3 linked regions of the Saccharomyces cerevisiae S288C genome follow. Changing the gene in region 1 together with any one later gene gives a genetic interaction. Each region holds a gene or a part of one and is shown in the gene's direction. Other genes may lie near its edges.

The links. Genes that interact genetically often act in the same process or in processes that back each other up.
Region 2: mutations in ATP22 (region 1) and VPS70 together harm fitness more than expected from each alone (negative genetic interaction), as found in Saccharomyces cerevisiae (one large-scale study listed by BioGRID).
Region 3: mutations in ATP22 (region 1) and ASN1 together harm fitness more than expected from each alone (negative genetic interaction), as found in Saccharomyces cerevisiae (one large-scale study listed by BioGRID).

Annotation. Positions count from the first base shown.
Region 1 is NC_001136.10:1,175,558-1,179,680, reverse strand, and holds ATP22 (Atp22p), read left to right. Parts: upstream 1-1,506; coding exon 1,507-3,561; downstream 3,562-4,123. Other genes in the region: SBE2 (Sbe2p), read right to left, coding at 1-1,015. UniProt on the Saccharomyces cerevisiae protein: Translation factor specific for subunit 6 of the mitochondrial ATPase. Required for assembly of the CF(0) component of the ATPase.
Region 2 is NC_001142.9:655,718-660,626, reverse strand, and holds VPS70 (putative zinc metalloprotease), read left to right. Parts: upstream 1-1,937; coding exon 1,938-4,373; downstream 4,374-4,909. Other genes in the region: RSF2 (Rsf2p), read left to right, coding at 1-1,710; ENT3 (Ent3p), read left to right, coding at 4,664-4,909. UniProt on the Saccharomyces cerevisiae protein: Involved in vacuolar protein sorting.
Region 3 is NC_001148.4:821,071-824,874, forward strand, and holds ASN1 (asparagine synthase (glutamine-hydrolyzing) 1), read left to right. Parts: upstream 1-1,549; coding exon 1,550-3,268; downstream 3,269-3,804. Other genes in the region: ribosome biosynthesis protein NOC4, read right to left, coding at 1-353; YPR145C-A (uncharacterized protein), read right to left, coding at 3,620-3,804.

The DNA of each region.
Region 1 (4,123 bases):
ACGAGCCGTCGACATCGCCCTCTTGAAGTTCCAAGTTAACGTCTTGATCTTCATAAAATTTTTCTTTCATTTTTATGGCTTTACGCAAAGATTGGTCATTTTGCTCTTTCCTTAAACGGTAACGTTGAGAAGGAGTAAGTTGGGTTGTTTTATATGGTAATATTACAGAAGTACTATTGGAATGCACATACGGCGTTTTTGTGATCGGCATGAGTTTTGGTTCTTGGATAGTTGCGGTACTCATGCAATGATGTTTAAGAGGAGAGTCATTCTCGCTTATGAATGAAGTTTGTGATGCGGCTATACTGTTGGTTGTATTGCTCGATCCAGGCAGCCCTACTGTCCTGGAGAGTTTAGGAGTTGACACCGAATTTTGACGAGATGGAATGCATGTAGTTATGGTACTCATTGAGCAGATTGTTTTATCAGCGCTACTTGCTGTACGTGTTTTCTGTAGTATTGATCCCGGTCGGCTTTTCTTTAAGGGCGTAATATTGCTTCTATGGTCAGCTTCTCTCATACTTTTGAAGAAGCAGTTATCCTCCATCTTACTGTTTGCTATTTCACCCTCTTCTGAGCTTATATCTGATGTACATAAAGAATCAGATGTCGTATTTGAGTGCGATGAAGAAAATATCTCTGTGCTCGATGTACCTATAGAATCATCTGATATTGGCCTAATGCACTTCGCTGTGGGTACGTGTGGATTATTATTACCTAATACATTTTTAACAACATCTTGGCTAGCGAAATTGAAATCTAGGTTGGAGCTAGGGCGTCTTGTTCCAATATTCTTTCCGTTCGAACCTGTAGTGCTACTGGATGCACTACTGCCTGATCGGGATTTAGACAACGGAAGGCTGCAACTTTTGCGTTCGGTATATTCTGAAAGCATCAACTCCTTTGTGGAAAACTTCTTAGGTTGATTTTGTTTCAGATGCGTTGAGTCCTCCTCCTTTAAAGGGTCTAGCTTAGACGTATTAGGAACTATATTAATCAAACGACGTGCTGTCATACAATAAAATTGAATGTCACAGAAAGCTAAAGAGCTGAAGTAAAATAATGAAGCAAAGGTGGAAGCCCGAAAATAAAGTTAAAATTCAAAGCTTGTAACGAACGTATGAATGAAAGCACTAATTGAGAAAAAACTGAATTTTGTCAAAACAGCTCTATGTTTCAGAATGATAAAAAGGAGAGTTAAAAATACAATGGACAGTGGAATACAGCCAAATGCTCGATAGCTTTCGCAGAAACAGTACAATTAAAGATCAACACTTGTATTCTAATTATAGCAGGATCGATGTTACATCTCTTTTGCTCTCTAATCGGAGCTGAAAAAAAAAAAAAAAAGCGTATATAGTGATCTACGCTGATTAACATTATAGATTGCATAAAAGGGAAAAAGGAATTACATGAAGATCTATTCTGCGCGACACACTTTATTGGCGTACTGGCAAGAATGGGCTTTCAAATCTTCCAAGCGTTCACTTTAATGTTCTTATTGGCATGTTAAAATGTATATGCCGTGTCTATTCCCAGCCTTTGGCTCAAATGGTCACTTCACCGCTGTTTAAACATATGGGTAGCGCAGGGACATACACAATTCTACCTATTACAAATCTGCGCCATTTATCTACGAAAAACTGTCCATTGAAAATTAAATCAAATCGTTCAGAACCTTTGCAGTTTGGCGATTTTGAACGACAGGTGCCATGTTCTAGGAAGAGCGGATCTTCGAAAAATGTTCAGAAGCGTTTATACGAGCTCCGACAATTGAAAACTGTATTAAGTGAGACTTTTGGAGTAACTGAATACGCCTCTTTTTTTGAATCTCTACGAAATGCCCTGCATATAAATAATTGCTCAGAAAATGAAAAGAAGAAACTTTTATATGATATCATTTTGCATCAACACGAGTTATACCCAGAGGTGGCAAGAAAAATTGGATTTTATCTACCAGGTGAGGTCCACAGATGGTTCTGGTATCATATTCCAAAATCAGAATCTTTTAATCACTATCTTTTTCTTTTGAAAAGTGATGTTCTTCTCTTTACTTCTAACTACTGTACGAGATTTACCAATAGGCTGATAAAAGGAACTGAGATGGAGAGGCAGTTAGCCACGTTCCAAATATTTTTGCATGATGAGACAAACATAAAATTTATAATGGAAAAAGTTCTGAAGTTGCATACATTTGACAGCTTAATCGCTCTAGTAAATGGCCTTGTTAAGGCGAAAAATTTTAGGTTCATTAAAGTATTTATTCAAGCTCTACTACAGAAGTTGGAACAGCACTGTTATTCTGGTAAAGATGGAGCAAAGCAAAAGAACCTGCGTTATGTCAAGTTCAACAATACCTTACTTTATTACCTTTTGAAAAGTGGAAATGTTGAGTTATTCATCAAAACCTTTCAAGAGGAACTGAAATTCATTGTAAGCTCAGGATTGCTTAATCACATTGATGGAAACGAACACATATTGAATTTTCCCATTCACCACTACTTGAATCTGCTCCGAATATCTAATAGGCAGGAGGAGCTTTTCAATGTAATTTCCTGCTTACAAAGCAGCCCACTGATGAAATATAAATTGTTCAAGGAGTTTTTAATGGGTGAATTAATTGCATCTTTTCAAGCCTTTCGTGACCCGAAATTGGTGTGTAAATATCTCCTCTCATCATACAGCTCAAAGGCGTCTGCTAATATTCTGAATGCCCTAGGGATTTGGGGGTGGCTCTATCATTCAAAATCAACGACTTTGACAGCTCCTACGTTAGCAAGAGAGCTGAAGAACAAAAATAATATTCTACCGAACACAATGCGAATAGGATCACCAGTGACTGTTCCAATTTTAACTGAACTGTATAGAAGCCTTTTATCTTCGAGTTCTGTTTCACTGGAAAGTGGTCAATTCAAGAATTGTCTTCTTGATTTATATTACAAGTACAAGAGTTTTCTTTCCGAGGAAGCTCATAAATACAGGTATTGGAGAAATGATACCGGAATCCTCAATGTTTTCCTAAATTATATTAGATTCCAAGCTCGTGAACCAAGGCTGGCCTACAATGTTCTTCTGGATTTTTATTCTCAACCTTTCGCCAAAAAAGTGGTTTTAACTACCACGCTATGTCCCTTTTCCATAGTAGCCTATAAAAATCATACATTAACGCAGGCTGAACTATCAGAATTGCTACAGGTGATGCATAAAAATGGGGTGCCTTTAACGTTTAAATTTTGTTCTGCAATGGTAATGCATTATGTCAAAATGAGAGACGAAAAAGGAGCACGCTCCTGGTACAATAAGATACTCTTCGGGGGCTTTGAAATCAGGCATATGGCTTTGATACAGATAATAAAAGACCAAGGCTGGCCGTTTCCCAAAAACTTTGACGAAACTTTACTGACGGAATTGGTGGAAAATAATAACATTAAAGAACCTACTGATAGCACCCTGTTTACTGACGAAGATATGTTCGAAGAAGATGGCAAGCCTAGATTTAATGATGATGATGTTAATAAATGTACAAATATTATAAGAGAGACGTTGAAAAGTCTAAATTAATATCCAGATGAGCACTAGTAAATAGTAAATATTCATTCATAGATAGTAATTTACCCATAAGTTATTAATACCTACAAAGTTTTTTCATAAGTTTATGAATATGTCTTCTTGGCCCATGGTTACTTTATTACCTCTAATACCTTATTTACTTTCTCAAATAAATGAGCCCTTGGATTTCATTTACTGAGAATAAAAAAAAGTACCGTGCTCGGCAAAAATGCTCCAGGGGAGGTTCGAACTCTCGACCTTCAGATTATGAGACTGACGCTCTTCCTACTGAGCTACTGAAGCTTTGTTTTGTACAGACGTTACATCTCAGAATGGGATACGTCAGCATGACAATACATTATCCTGAACGTTCATAGAACACATATGAAACCTAAGAAAACGAACAGATTGAGCAACATGAGGTAAAACTCCGCCTTCTATAGCTGGGCTATCTAAACGTATAAATGCCTGAACAATTGGTTTATGAGAAATGGGTGTATTTTGAGAGACTTGTTGGGATTCCATTGTTGATAAAGGCTATAATATTAGGTGTACAGAATATACTAGAAGTTCT
Region 2 (4,909 bases), on another chromosome or scaffold:
CCTTCTATCATACCTAATATGGACAGTTATCCCTTGTTATTATCTATCTCCATGGTCGGAGCATTGTATGGGTTTCATTCGACGCATGCAAAAGTGTTAGCTAATGCAGCTAGCACCCAAATTAGGAAAAGCTTGAAAGTTAGTGAGAAAAACCCGGAGACGACAGAGTTATGGGTTATACAGACATTAGTATTGCTAACGTTCTACTGTATTTTCAATAAAAATACAGCCGTGATCAAGGGGATGCATGGTCAGTTGACGACTATTATTCGTCTCTTGAAGGCCTCTCGTTTAAATTTGCCCCTAGAGTCCCTATGCCAGCCGCCTATTGAGAGTGATCATATTATGGAATATGAAAACAGTCCTCATATGTTTTCAAAAATAAGAGAGCAATACAACGCGCCGAATCAAATGAACAAAAACTACCAATATTTTGTATTGGCGCAGTCACGTATCAGGACTTGCCATGCGGTATTACTTATATCTAACTTATTTTCTTCACTGGTAGGTGCTGATTGCTGTTTTCATTCAGTCGATTTAAAATGTGGTGTTCCATGCTATAAAGAAGAATTATATCAGTGCCGAAATTCCGATGAATGGTCGGACCTATTATGTCAATACAAAATAACGTTAGATTCGAAATTTTCGTTGATTGAATTGTCTAATGGTAACGAGGCATATGAAAATTGTTTGAGGTTTCTTTCTACAGGCGATAGTTTTTTTTACGGAAATGCTAGGGTTTCGTTAAGTACATGTCTATCATTGTTGATATCTATCCATGAGAAAATACTTATTGAAAGAAATAACGCAAGGATCAGTAATAACAACACCAATAGCAATAACATTGAGTTGGACGATATTGAGTGGAAGATGACTTCCAGACAACGGATCGATACAATGTTAAAATACTGGGAAAACCTTTATTTGAAAAATGGTGGCATCTTGACACCTACCGAGAATAGCATGTCAACAATAAACGCCAATCCAGCAATGAGGTTAATAATTCCGGTATATTTGTTTGCCAAAATGAGACGGTGTTTGGACCTGGCACATGTTATTGAGAAAATCTGGTTGAAAGATTGGTCCAATATGAATAAAGCTTTGGAGGAAGTTTGCTATGACATGGGTTCATTGAGGGAAGCTACCGAGTATGCACTGAATATGGTGGATGCGTGGACTTCATTTTTTACGTACATTAAACAGGGCAAGCGCAGAATTTTCAATACTCCTGTATTTGCGACCACATGTATGTTCACTGCAGTATTAGTGATTTCGGAATACATGAAATGTGTAGAGGATTGGGCACGCGGGTACAATGCCAACAACCCTAACTCAGCATTATTGGATTTTTCGGACCGTGTCTTATGGCTAAAAGCAGAAAGGATTTTGAGAAGATTACAAATGAACTTGATACCGAAGGAGTGTGATGTGTTGAAATCGTACACTGATTTCTTAAGATGGCAGGACAAGGATGCCCTAGATTTGTCAGCACTAAATGAAGAACAAGCACAAAGGGCCATGGACCCGAATACCGATATAAATGAGACAATTCAACTAATTGTAGCGGCAAGTCTATCCTCCAAATGTTTATATTTGGGTGTTCAAATATTGGGTGATGCGCCAATTTGGCCTATAATATTATCGTTCGCTCATGGTTTGCAATCAAGAGCTATCTATAGTGTTACGAAAAAAAGAAACACTAGAATATAAGTCCGATTTACAAATATATAATGGCGGCCGTCTCTATACTATAGTATTTACAGAATTAAAGCTTAGAACTATCATAACTTTCATAATATACCACCAGGCTTCAAAAAGGCATTGTTCCATTCGGAGTTTGCTTGAGTTTGATGGCCCGGGTAAAAAGGTTTGACAAGGCAAGGGGCCGTACTTATTAAAACAATTTCAACATGCACAATTAAGAATGTAAGAGATATATGAGAATGATACAGAGAGAGAGAAAGAGAGAGAAAGAGGAAGGTCAATTAAAGGAGAGAACTGTTGTTAATATGGCAGACCCTGATGACAATGAGGCCGAAGCCACTGGATTACAACAATATAGTGGCGAGACCACTCGCGATGACAATGAAGAAAGCATGAATGATTCTTTCACTTTAACATCCAGGAATAGAGGCAGAAGTAATACAATATCTAGTATTGTTAGTGGTTATGAAATAATGAAAGAACATATGGACAAGGAAAAGTTTATGTACTTGATTCTAGCGAGTCTCCTTTTGTACATGGGATTTGTTGCCGCATTTGCTCCCAGGACGTCTTTATCAAGAGACTTTCGGCGGTTTCACTCTTCCAGATTGACGAATGCAGAGGTTTATAGGATATACTTGAACTCCTTGCAACAGGAAAATAGAGCGAAAGAACATGTATACAAGTATGCTGGGTACATGAGCAACGGAGCAAGTGATTCGTCAACGTTTAAATATACCTTGGACGAGTTTCTAGATATGGGGTACAAACCCAAAGTTGAAAAATATTACCCATGGATAGGTGAACCAGTAGACACTAACGTAGCTCCTTTAGAAAATGGTAAAGTGGTCTACGAAGCAAGCATGATCGAGGATAGAGTTAAAGGTGATCCTGCTTCTCACGCTAGGAAAAGGCAAAAGGGTTTCCATCAATATTCAAAAAATGGAAGTGTAACTGCTCGATACGTGTTTTGCAATTATGGTAGCATCAGTGATTACAAGCTACTTTTGAAGAAAAACATTGATATTGAAGATAAAATCCACATCGTACGATCGGGTAAAATATTACCTGGATTAAAGGTAAAGAATGCAGAACTTTATGGCGCTTCCAGTGTCATTATATATACAGACCCATTTGACGATGGTAAAGTTACTGAGGAAAATGGGTTTTTACACTATCCTTATGGACCAGCAAGAAACCCAAGTTATATTAGGAGAGATTCTGTAAACTATTTCAGTGACACTCCAGGAGATCCGACAACTCCAGGGTATCCCTCCAAGGATTCCGACACTGAACATATGTCACCGGTAGGGAGAGTGCCGAGGATACCATCGGTGCCGATGAGTGCTAGAGATGTCCAACCAATTTTAGAAAGATTGAATGGCAGGGGTTTTCAAATTGGGCCCGGTAGTAATATAAAAGATTTTGGATCATTCACTGGACCTTCAAGCTCTATCGATAAAGTCCATTTGCATAATGAGCTAACTTACAACATCAAGGAAATGAGTAGTGTAGAGGTTAGTATCCCTGGTATATTCACTGAGGGGGAGATTATTATCGGAGCTCATAGGGATTCGCTCGCCTCGAGTAGCGCCGGTGATGCAAATAGTGGCAGCGCTATTCTTTTAGAAATTGCACGAGGAATGAGTAAATTACTTAAGCATGGTTGGAAGCCACTGCGTCCTATCAAACTAATAAGTTGGGATGGTGAACGATCCGGCCTTCTGGGATCTACAGATTATGCAGAAGCTCATGCTGCGATTCTCAGGAGAAGGGCCTTGGTATACCTAAATCTAGATAATGCAATCTCTGGGACAAATTTTCACTGTAAAGCCAACCCACTTTTACAAGACGTGATATACGAAGCTGCTAAGCTCACGGAATTTAATGGGCACGAAGACTGGTCATTGTTCGACCATTGGAAATACACTTCTAATGCCACTATTTCTCTACTTGATGGGTTGTCTAGTTACACTTCATTTCAGTACCATCTTGGAGTGCCCGCTGCACATTTTCAGTTTAATGCCAATGATACTTCAGGCGCAGTCTATCATAGTAACTCCGTATTCGATAGCCCAACTTGGTTGGAAAAATTTACCAATTCTGACTACAAGTTACACAACACCATGGCCATGTTTGTAGGTTTGACAACGCTGATGCTGAGTGAAAACGAACTGGCAAGATTCAATACACATGTTTACCTGAAGAAAATATATAACTGGTATATCGCATGGCACTCTAATCTATCTTCAGCATTTCCCCAGGACGATGAAGTGAACAGCTTAGCAAAAAGGGTTCTGGACTTATTAAAAGTTGCCACACAGGAAGATAGCATCCAATTTGACCAACAAAATGGTATTCTCTATAAAGAGTGTAGGGAAGCTTTACCTGTTTGGGCTTTTTACAAAAAAATCAAGAGCTATATTAAACTGCAACGATCCAATAGCAAATCAAAGCAAATTGATCAATTATTTATTACACACAGAGGACTGAAAGACAGGGAATGGATGAAGTACTCTCTTTTAGCACCTAGTAAGTTTGAGGGATCTGTCGGGGAAGTTTTGCCCGGCCTTCACGAAGGATTGGCTGATATTGATAGAAACGAGGTCATTCAGTGGTTAACCATTTTGCTAAGCCAATTCAGCAACGTTCGCTATTTACTTCAATAAGCATTTAAGTACCTCACCTCAGTATATACATTTATTTTATTTGCATACGTAGAGTGACTTTGAATAATAACCATGAGAGGCTTTTTTGTATATACTCTATAAACATGGCTTCAATTTCTTATACATGTCACACCGTACGTTGTGCGAGGTGATTAGGAAAAGTAAAAGGGGACTAGAAGAATCATGAAATGATTTGTAGATACAGTTATTTGAGGAAAGCAAAAATTACCAATTCAGGAAGGTGTAGGGACGTCGATAGGAGATCACATCGTTAATTAGTGTTAGGAAGAATGAGTTTAGAGGATACATTAGCCAACATGTCATTATATGACGCCAAGAAATATTTTCGTAAAGCTCAAAATGTTGTTTTCAATTATACTGAGATGGAGGGGAAAGTTCGTGAAGCGACAAACAACGAGCCTTGGGGTGCCTCATCCACTTTAATGGACCAGATTTCTCAAGGAACTTACAATTTCAGGGAAAGAGAAGAAATTTTGTCCATGATATTCAGAAGGTTCACTGAAAAGGCAGGTAGT
Region 3 (3,804 bases), on another chromosome or scaffold:
TCTAACCCAAGTGATGTTTCGAAAGGTATGTCCGAAATGATAGCTAACAGCTTCGTCTTGAACGCTTCATACACCTTTCTACACCAATTAACAAACTGTTCCTTCTCTAATGTGCTCTTTTTGGACGAAGGAAGGGTCAAGTCGCCGCGGGAAAACAGCTTTCTAAATATCTGGAATAGCGACATAACCAGAAATCTCAAATTTTTTTCTGTCTCATCTTCTTCCAATTGAGTAACATTTTCTGGAATCACTAGTTCATTGATTAACTTGATAATGGAGTTGTACTGCTTTCTGTCACCCGCAGCAGTCAGCCTCTTGGCAATATCTTTAATTTCTGATATAAGCAATACCATATTCTTTGACGTTTCTTTTTAATAGATCTCTCTTCATGGCAATAGAGGATGATAATTACATCTCATCTCATCTCATCAAAACCGTAATACACTTTTTTTTTTCTCAGTTGGAAAATTTTAGTGAAAAATTTCAAGAATAGCCCTAAACCTTCAAATACGAGGATTACCCGTAGAGAAGTGCTGAAAAACTTTTTTCTTTTTCTTTTTTTTCGATTTTCATTTAACAGGTATAAAAAGCGAAACACTCGGTACATATATTTTACCAAGACGCGTTAGATTTTCTTTGGAGGTTTCATTTAAAGAAACCAATGACCTTCCAAGTTTTTAAAAGAATACGATGATATTATTTGCGTTTCAAATCGAACAATTCTTCTCGGAGCGATCTGAGGTTTTAATGGAGATAGCGGTTCCTGCGCAACCCATTGATCTTGTTACATTCTTAAGAATGACAAGGACGCTTTTATAAAATTCTGATTCTTTTTTCTTTCATTCTTTTGTTGTTTTTGACTTGGGAGTAGTCATCTCATCTGTACACAAGTAGCTTTTTATATGTTCTTAAATTGTAGACTAGTCAAAACTTGTGTCCTTTAAACCGTGCCGAAACAGTTTTAAAGCGGACATCCAGGGAAACTTGCCGTTAACAATAAGTGACCTTGCATGGAAGACTGTCGATTGGTCTCTGTGGAAACCAGTGCATATCTAAATTAAATCTATTGTCATCACGAATGCCGCCCGTGTTCGTGCAACGTGAGCGCAAATACGCCTGGGGTCTGTCTTTCTGCGCTGGAAAGCACCTTCGGGCATCAACTACCGTTTCTTATCGCTGGCACTATCTATCCACCAATCACACGGCAGCAGTACTGCTGCCGTGGACGGCAAATTAGGTACAGGGCCTATGACTGTTATCATTTGGCAGGCTCAGACAGAGAGAGAGAGCACAAGGAAAAGAGCCTTAACTCATGTAACATTTGACTCATTCTGTAAACTGAAAATTTGCTGCCCACTCGAGATGACAAATAGTTCGTTCTTGAATTTATGCGCATTTATAGATACGCATATATAACCCTATAGTGAACGCCACTAGGAGACAGATTCTGTTTGGACCCTGATCGCATACTCTTCTTACCTTTACATAATAAAATAAGAAAAAGTATAACTTGCTTTACGCTAAGGATATAAATCGGACGTAACTTAAGATGTGTGGTATTTTCGCCGCTTTCAGGCACGAAGACGTGCATAGATATAAGCCAAAGGCTCTACAACTATCAAAAAGAATCAGACACCGTGGTCCAGATTGGTCCGGTAATGCTATCAAGAACTCCACTATATTTGTTCATGAAAGACTAGCCATTGTCGGTGTGGAATCCGGTGCTCAACCAATTACTTCTTCAGACGGAGAGTACATGCTATGTGTTAACGGTGAAATCTACAACCACATTCAATTAAGAGAAGAATGCGCAGACTACGAGTTTGGAACACTGAGTGACTGTGAGCCTATCATCCCAATGTACTTAAAGCACGATATCGACGCTCCTAAGTACTTGGATGGTATGTTTGCTTGGACTCTTTACGACGCTAAACAAGATCGTATTGTGGCAGCCAGAGACCCAATCGGTATTACGACATTATATATGGGACGCTCTTCCGCTTCTCCAAAGACCGTTTATTTTGCATCCGAACTAAAATGTTTGACTGACGACTGTGACACTATCACTGCATTCCCACCGGGCCACGTATACGATTCTAAGACTGACAAGATCACCCGTTACTTCACACCAGATTGGCTGGACGAAAAACGCATTCCTTCCACCCCAATAGATTACATGGCAATTAGACACTCCTTAGAAAAAGCCGTTAGAAAGAGATTAATGGCCGAAGTCCCATACGGTGTTCTATTGTCGGGTGGTTTGGACTCCTCTTTAATCGCTTCCATTGCTGCCCGTGAAACTGCAAAGGCCACTAACGATGTCGAACCATCAACTTACGATAGTAAGGCAAGACATCTAGCAGGTATCGACGATGACGGTAAGCTACACACTGCTGGTTGGACAAGTCTCCATTCCTTTGCCATCGGTTTACCAAATGCTCCAGATTTGCAAGCCGCAAGAAAGGTTGCCAAATTCATCGGCTCTATTCATCATGAACACACCTTTACATTACAAGAAGGTTTGGATGCTTTGGACGACGTGATCTACCATTTGGAAACTTACGACGTTACCACTATCAGAGCTTCCACTCCAATGTTCTTACTATCCAGAAAGATTAAGGCCCAAGGGGTCAAGATGGTTCTTTCCGGTGAAGGTTCCGATGAAATCTTCGGTGGTTATCTATATTTCGCACAAGCTCCTTCTGCGGCAGAATTTCACACTGAATCCGTGCAACGTGTCAAGAACTTGCATTTGGCAGATTGTTTGAGAGCTAACAAGTCTACGATGGCTTGGGGTCTAGAAGCTCGTGTTCCATTCTTAGACAGAGAATTTTTGCAATTGTGTATGAACATCGATCCAAATGAAAAGATGATTAAACCAAAGGAAGGACGTATTGAAAAGTACATTCTAAGGAAGGCATTCGACACCACAGGAGAACCAGATGCTAAGCCATATTTACCAGAAGAAATTTTATGGAGACAAAAAGAACAATTTTCCGACGGTGTTGGTTACTCCTGGATCGACGGATTAAAAGATACCGCCGAAGCAGTCATTTCAGATGAAATGTTTGCCAGTCCAAAGGCCGAATGGGGTAGTGACATTCCAACCACAAAAGAGGCTTTCTGGTACAGACTAAAATTCGATGCTTTGTTCCCTCAAAAGACCGTGGCTGACACCGTTATGAGATGGATTCCAAAGGCCGACTGGGGTTGTGCTGAAGATCCTTCTGGTAGATATGCCCAAATTCATGAAAAACATATCGAATAAATAACATTAAAAAATAGAAAAAGAATTATGGATTAATCTTATAGATATTTTTATAGAAAAACAAACACTAACAATAATAATAATAATAAATAGAATATAGAAATACATATTTTTCATAATAGTTTGATGAAGTTTTATTCATAAATCATTTTTTATCGCCAGTGCTAAAAAATTAAGTGTGTGGATGACTGTATATATGCGTATCGAACGATCTTGATGCAAATCATTTTGAAACATTATTCTTGACTTTGATATTTCCTATTATACATCCTCCTTCCTTGAGACCCAATAATCTTAAAAATGATGGAGACAGTGCATGCCCTCCTTTTCACCCTTCTTTTATGTCGTTTCTTACAATTTTCGAGATTCTTTTGAATCTGATCTCCTTTTACCTTGTGACTGAAGATTCCTAATCGAATTGCTCCTCTCTAGCGACGCCCTTTGTTTCATTTCGTGTGCAATTAGTAGATCGTGCCTTGTTATTACTGTATTCTTATTTCTTGATTTAATTTCCGCTCGATAGTTTTGCGGATATT